Macaca fascicularis: one gene and its partner. The protein of the gene in region 2 purifies or fractionates together with the protein of the main gene of each other region. This does not show direct contact. Links are inferred from orthologs where the notes say so. Each region holds a gene or a part of one and is shown on either strand. Other genes may lie near its edges.

Region 1 (3,518 bases), on a different chromosome or scaffold from region 2:
GTGGTGTAATCTGGGCTCACTGCAACCTCTACCTCCTGGGTTCAAGCAATTCTCCTGCCTCAGCCTCCTGAGTAGCTGGGATTACAGGCGTGTACCACCACGCTTAGGTAATTTTTGTATTTTTAGTAGAGACGGAGTTTCACCATGTTGGCCAGGCTGGTCTCGAACTCCCAACCTCAGGTGATCCACCTACCTCGGCCTCCCAAAGTGCTGGGATTACAGGCATGAGCCGCCGTGCCCGGCCTGTTTCTTCATTTTTATTTTTTTTTTGAGACGGAGTTTCGCTCTGTTGCCCAGGCTGGAGTGCAGTGGCACAATCTTTGCTCATTGCAAGCTCCGCCCCCTGGGTTCATGCCATTCTCCTGCCTCAGCCTCCTGAGTAGCTGGGACAACAGGCACCCGCCACCACGCCCAGCTAATTTTTTTGTATTTTTAGTGGAGACGGGGTTTCACAGTGTGCTAATTTTTTTGTATTTTTAGTAGAGACGGGGTTTCACAGTGTGCTAATTTTTTTGTATTTTTAGTAGAGACGGGGTTTCACAGTGTTCGCCAGGATGGTCTCGATCTCCTGACCTCGTGATCCGCCCGTCTCGGCCTCCCAAAGTGCTGGGATTACAGGCTTGAGCCACTGCGCCCGGCCAGGGGTGGAGCTATTAATAGAACCTGATTGAGCCGGACACGGTGGCTCACACCTGTAATCCCAGCACTTTGGGAGGCCAAGGCTGGTGGATCACGAGGTCAGGAGATCGAGACCACCCTGGCTAACACGGTGAAATCCCGTCTCTACTAAAAATACAAAAAATTAGCCAGGAGTGGTGGTGCGCACCTGTAGTCCCAGCTACTTGGGAGACTGAGGCAGGAGAATCGCTTGAACTGGGGAGGCAGAGGTTGCAGTGAGCAGAGATTGTGCCACTGCACTCCAGCCTGGGCAACAAGAGTGAAACTCTGTCTCAAAAAAAAAAGAAAAACAAAAAACAAAACAAAACAAAGAACCCGAACCCAATCTCTGGGCTCCCAGCTTCCCATGCCACTAAACATCTCATGACCACCACTGGCCAGAATGCCTCTCTCCAAAGCCCTGTGGCCTGCACGGCCCCTTCGGCCTGTTCCTCACGGCAGCCGCAAAAACAGGAGCTGCTCAACCCACTCCAAAAATGGGGACACCGAGGCCCAGGGGAAAAATAAGACAACAGATGGCTGGGGTGGGATCTGCCTTCCTCCTCCCACCTCCCCCAGCCCACGGCCCCTCACCCTTCTTTCTCAGGTGGCCACAGCAAGTTGGGTCCCAGGACTATGGCGATGTTGCTGGGTGTCATCTTGTTCACCTCCTGCTCCTCGGCCAGTCGTGCCAGGAACTTCATCAGGTACCTAAGGGCAGAGGTAGGCTTAGGCCAGGGGCAGAACGCACCCAGCCCTGAGAATTCTCCAGCTCAGGGTTTCCAAAGAGTGTGAAAGACACCGCCCAGAATGGTCTTAACACTGTCACAGTTAAAGCAGCTTATCCGCTGAGCGCCAACCCTGCGGCCGGCACTGAGCCAAGTTGAGTCCTCGAAGCCACCCTACAGGGTAGGGACTATTACAGTCTGCATTTTTCAGATGATGACGCCGAGTGGCCTGCCCCGAAGTGGCATGCGAAGTCAGGCAGTATGGCTTCAAAAGTTCAAGGTCTCATTCACTTCAATGCTTTACATAAAAATATGTATGTGACTAATTCAGCCGGGTGCAGTGCCTCACGCCTGTAATCCCAGCACTTTGGGAGACTAAGGTGAGTGGATCACCTGAGATCAGGAGTTCGAGACCAGCCTGACCAACATGGTGAAACCCCATCTCTACTAAAAATACAAAACTTAGCCGGGTGTGGTGGCAGGTGCCTGTAGTCCCAGCTACTCAGGAGGCTGAGGCAGGAGAATTGCTTGAACCCAGCAGGCGGAGGTTGTAGTGAGCTGAGATTGCACCACTACACTCCAGCTTGGGCGACAGCGTGAGACCCTGTCTCAAAAAAAAAAAAAAAAACAGTATGTATATATATATGTAAATGACTAATCCATCAAAGCTGCATTTGCAGAAATATTTCTTAAAATATAGTGACAAGGCCAGGCTCAAGCCCAGGGTCCCTGACCCCAGCTGGGCTCTGGCTCTGTGGCAGGCTGGGGGGGCGGGCTTGGGCTCACCTGAGGTTGCTGAGGTTCTCGGGGGGCAGGCGGCTGCACACTTCTTGGAGGGCCTGCAGCCGGGCCCCTGGCTCCTTCAGGCTGCGGAGGGAGTGGAGAGACCTGTCAGCCAGCGCAGGGCTACCCCTTTGCATCCTCCTCTTCCCCATCCCCTCCCTCCTCCAACATCCTCACCTGGCTGCCCTCATCCAGTCGTCATAGAGGTCGAAGGTCATCAGGGGCTCTGGCAGCTCCCGCAGATAGGACTTGAGGGCACCTGAAGCAGGAGTGTGGGGGAGGGTCAGAGGCAGCCCCCACCCCGCTCTCCCACTTTCCCTGTAGAAGGAACCTCCGGCCCTTGTTCACACTAATGTGTCTAGATCTGACAGTTTCTTTGGGCTGCAGGCCCTTTTGAGAAAATGAAGGCTAGCCATCATTTCCCCAGAAAAATGTACAAACATTTTGGGGGGCTCATGATGGATCCCACATTAAGAACCCCTGAGCGTCCTCAGTCTCCTCAACAGAATATCATGTCTTGAAGCCAGGCTTATCTTGGGATCATTTCACGCCACTGCACCCCTTCCCCCCAACCTCCTGCCCAGGGCTCCCCGGATCAGGCACCTGCCACGGCGTGTGGGTCGGAGCAGAACTCCTCCAGGCTGTGGGGGTCCGAGGCCATCGTCTGCTTGAGACGCTTCAGCACTGAGGCCCCAGCAGCCAGACGGAAGAGACCCTGGGTTCAAGAGGGGGCAGGCAAGGGTCACAGAGGGGTGGGCAGGGCAGGATACCCAGGGGCCTTGTAGCCTGGGGTGTGTCACTGGCCCTCGCTAGGCCTGTGTCCCCACTGGTGTGGCCGGCAGTGTGGGCACCATGGTGTCCACAGGCCTCAACCTTCAAGGTCTAGAATTCTGAGCAAAGGGCAGGGCTGGGAAGTCTGGGAGGAGGTGGGAAAAATCATGGGGAAATGGGAGCCCAGTCAGAAGTGGAAGGGAGGGGCCAGGCGCGGTGGCTCATGCCCGTAATTGTAGCACTTTGGGAGGCCCATGCAGGTGGATCACTTGAGGCCAGGGGTTCGAGACCAGCCTGGACAACATGGTAAAACCCCATCTCTACTAAAATAAAAAAAATTAGCTGGGCATGGTGGTGGGCATCTGTAATCCCAGCTACTTGGGAGACTGAGACACAAGAATTGCTTGAACCTGGGAGGTAGAGGCTGCAGTGAGCCAGGAGCATACCACTGCACTACAGCCTGGGTGACAGCGAGATCCTGTCTCAAAAAAAAAAAAAAAAAAAAAAGGGCCAGGCACAGTGGCTTATGCCTGTAACCCCAGCACTCTGGGAGGCCGAGGCAGGTGGATCACCTGAGGT
Region 2 (3,518 bases):
CAAGACCACACAGCTAGTAACTGGCAGAGCCAGGGTTCAAACCCCTCTTTCTGCTTCTAAAGCGTGTGCTTTCTGGTACATTACCTCAGCCCATTGACGATATCCTTTGTTTTTCCAAAGTAGATCTCGTTCAGCGTACTTCTGATTTTATTTTCCATGTCCTGGAAGGGAGGTCGGTCAGCGCCTTGGCAAACGGTCAGGAACCCTGAGGCCAACGCCCTCTCTCCACCCGCCAGCCCTGCAGTCCCCACTATGGCCACTGGAGGGCAGCACACACCTGCTCTGGGGCACGGGTGAGCGGGCTCCAGGCTGCCAAGACCCCACCTGCCATCTGTGCTCCAGGCGCCTTCCCGTCCTCAGGAAGGGAGGAAGCCAGTACCCAGGTATTGGCGGCCAACTCTGCCCATGCCTGGGAGCTGGTCTAAACCACATCACCGCCCCTCAGACTCCCCACTAATTTTGTGAACAATTCTGTGAAACCGGAGAGCACCTCCCTGCCTTCCCAAACAACGTGGTGACAGGAGGGCCAAGGCAGCCGCAACTGAAGCCACTCCAGGGCCCACTGGCATTTCTGGCATCTGCTTCCTCTCCCAGCGCAGGGCCCTGTTCACACCCAGGCGATCAGGGGAGACAAGACCTAGTGCGCCCCAGAGCCAGCGCCTGAGCAGAGTCTTCTGGGAGCCCGGGTCGGGGGGGGAGCAGGAGGTGGCCCTGAAGCCACAGCCTGCTGGCATCCAAATCAGAGGCTCCGAAAATATGAGGCCAGGGCAAAATCCAAGCAGCGCTCTGCCGGCTGCTGTGGAGCTGGGAGAAAGCAGCAGAGAAGGAGGCCAGCACAGCGGTGCCGGGGGTGCAGTGTCACTGCCGTGGGCCAACACAGGAGCCAGCCAGAGCCCCGGCCACTCACCTCTACCAGGCGCCCGATGTTGGCTATGTGTGGGGAGCAGTCACCCACAGTTTCATCTTTCTCCATCTGCAAAAGACAGAAACATTCCAAGTCAGAGAAAGCCGGGGCTTTCTGAGAACGGCAGACAGCCCAGCCCATCTCCACGGTCTGCAAAGAGCCTATTGTTCCCACCGTGGAGCCAGCTGCAGGTATGACAAGGCCACTTTTGCAGCCTGGGAACTGAAGCACAAACCGACTTCAGTTTCAGACCATGAAGAGCCCAGCCGGCAGAAGCCCAGGGCCCCCACTTTCAAGGGAGAAGATTTTGCTGCTGCCCATGGTAGAGCAGGCAGATGCCCAGAGCCACAGCAGGGAGGGCAAAGGCAGAGGCTCTTGACAGACACCGGCTCACCCGAGCCAACTGGAGAAGACTCGCTCGGTTTGTCTTCAGGCCTCTACTGGCAGGCCCAGGCCAGGCCGTCCACCCTGGGTTCAGGGCCTGACACTGCAGGGGAAGCTCCCGGGCTGCTGCTGCGCCCTGACGCTCCCGAATGGTGGCTTTGGGGTGCCATCTGCTGCGGTCTCGCGGGGAAGGACAGACAACCTCTGACGGAGACTCCAGGCCACAGGGATTTAGTGGCTCACCCTAGTCATGCAGGTGGCAATGGCAGAGCCTGGGTTAAACCCTTCCTCGCGCCAGGGCCCGTTTGTTCTACTCTGTGAGGGGAGTTTGAGCGAGAGTCTCAATACAGACTGAGGTGATGAGGGGGGCGGCAGCACTCAAGCCCCATCTCCTCTTCCCACGCCCAGGAAGAACTGGCTCTGACCCAATCATCTCCACTTGGAGGAGGGAGGAAATGGAGGCAGGTTAGGGAAGAAGGAATTCGGCACTTTCCCTCCAATTTTTTCTTATCTGAAGCCTTATTTCCCTGACAAGAATATAAATTCTTTAAGGAGAGATGTGCCTGTCTCATAACTCACAGGGTGCCTGGAAGAGTGCTAGGCACATAAATGCTCAATGTTACTACACTGAAAGTAAGAATCTGTAGCTACCATGACTGATGTTGAAATAAAATGTGGAAGCTGAAATAAAGAAAGAAAGAGGAAGAAAAGAACAGCATCAGAAAGGGTAGAGTTCAAAATGAGTTCAGGCCCATAGAAGAAAAACCAGCAAAAGGCGGGTTCCTCTCTTTGGAACCAGGAGACGGGTGGAGGCTGGGGGGAGATCCCGTCTCAGAGGGTACGGCTCTGTTGCTTCTCACCTATTTCTACTTCTCCTCATCAGGGAGATCGACTTTCAGGCTGCGAAAGGTGGAACCAACCTGGTTAAGGGGGTGAGCAGAGGGCAGGAAAGAACCAAGTCACTTTAAACAATCAGGCTTGCAGGGTCGGGGCAGACCTGACCTGTGACTGCAATCTTTGACACTGGGGGGCGGCAGTGGCTGACCTGACTTTTGTCTATTTTTTTTGTTTTTTTCTTTTTGAGATGGAGTTTCACTCTTGTTGCCCAGGCTGGAGCGCAATGGCACAATCTCGGCTCACTGCAACCTCTGCCTCCCCGGTTCAAGTGATTCTCCTGCCACAGCCTCCCTAGTAGCTGGGATTACAGGTGCCCGCCAACACGCCTGGCTTTCCTTTTTTTTTTTTTTTTTTTTTTTTTTTTTGTATTTTTAGTAGAGATGGGGTTTTGCCATGTTGGCCAGGCTGGTCTTGAACTTCTGACCTCAGGTGATACACCTGCCTCGGCCTCCCAAAGTGCTGGGATTACAGGTGTGAGCCACTGCACCTGGCCGACCCGACTTTTGTCAAAAAAGGAAGAATGGCCTCTGCAAGGAAATGCTAGCTTGAAACTGATCCAGACAACAATTTTTGATGGGATCATTAAAATTATCTGCTGGCACATTTTAAAGTCAGAGATCACGAGGAGCCAGCCAGGCTCACTATGAACAAGCCCTGCACGAGAATACTTCTTTTCCTGTTTTGGTGGGGATGCTGGGCTGGAAGAAAACACAACTACTTAAATAGGGTTGCATCCTTCTGGCAAGTTCTCGTCTACCATCCTGCACCTGTGGCTGAGAGGAAGGGGAGGATGGAGCCTCTGCCGATAGGGGTGGGGACCCGGCCACAGTTCCACAGCCCCGTCGCCCACCCCTGCCCACTCCCCTCCACACCTGGTCAGGGTCAGCTCACTGCCATACCGACCCACCAAAAATAGAATGATTTGTGCACTGCATATATTATGGGGCACCCTGTGGCAGTCTTTGCATGCCCTTGGTCAACTTGTTTGTCCAGGACTTAAGTAAAGGCCCGGCTGAGAGAATGACCAGCTTCCTATCGACTGTGTCAAGGGTTTAGATGGTCACAGGGTTAATACAGAACCCGGAAACCTGGGCTAGCTACAGAAGGAAACTGAAGCTTAAAGATGCAAGAATCACTGTTAGATTCCAATGCCTTTGCTCTTCCTACTTCACCATGCCAGTTAAATGTGCCGGGGCAAATTCAAGTCAGATATTTAGGCTTAAGGGTGCATTTCAGGCCGGGTGCGGTGGCTCAAGCCTGTAATCCCAGCACTTTGGGAGGCCGAGACGGGCGGATCACGAGGTCAGGAGATCGATACCATCCTGGCTAACAC

What was found. Proteins that work in one complex are often made in the same cells at the same time.
Region 1: the proteins of CAPZB (region 2) and SH3BP1 purify together in Homo sapiens (co-immunoprecipitation; 3 studies listed by BioGRID and IntAct, with this or other methods). This does not show direct contact. The link is inferred for Macaca fascicularis from reciprocal best matches to the Homo sapiens genes CAPZB and SH3BP1.

What each region holds. Positions count from the first base shown.
Region 1 is NC_088384.1:13,993,127-13,996,644, forward strand, and holds part of SH3BP1 (SH3 domain-binding protein 1), read right to left. Parts: intron 2,884-3,518; coding exon 2,772-2,883; intron 2,428-2,771; coding exon 2,346-2,427; intron 2,253-2,345; coding exon 2,172-2,252; intron 1,369-2,171; coding exon 1,252-1,368; intron 1-1,251. UniProt on the Homo sapiens protein: GTPase activating protein (GAP) which specifically converts GTP-bound Rho-type GTPases including RAC1 and CDC42 in their inactive GDP-bound form.
Region 2 is NC_088375.1:215,739,937-215,743,454, reverse strand, and holds part of CAPZB (F-actin-capping protein subunit beta), read right to left. Parts: intron 974-3,518; coding exon 908-973; intron 162-907; coding exon 85-161; intron 1-84. UniProt on the Homo sapiens protein: F-actin-capping proteins bind in a Ca(2+)-independent manner to the fast growing ends of actin filaments (barbed end) thereby blocking the exchange of subunits at these ends.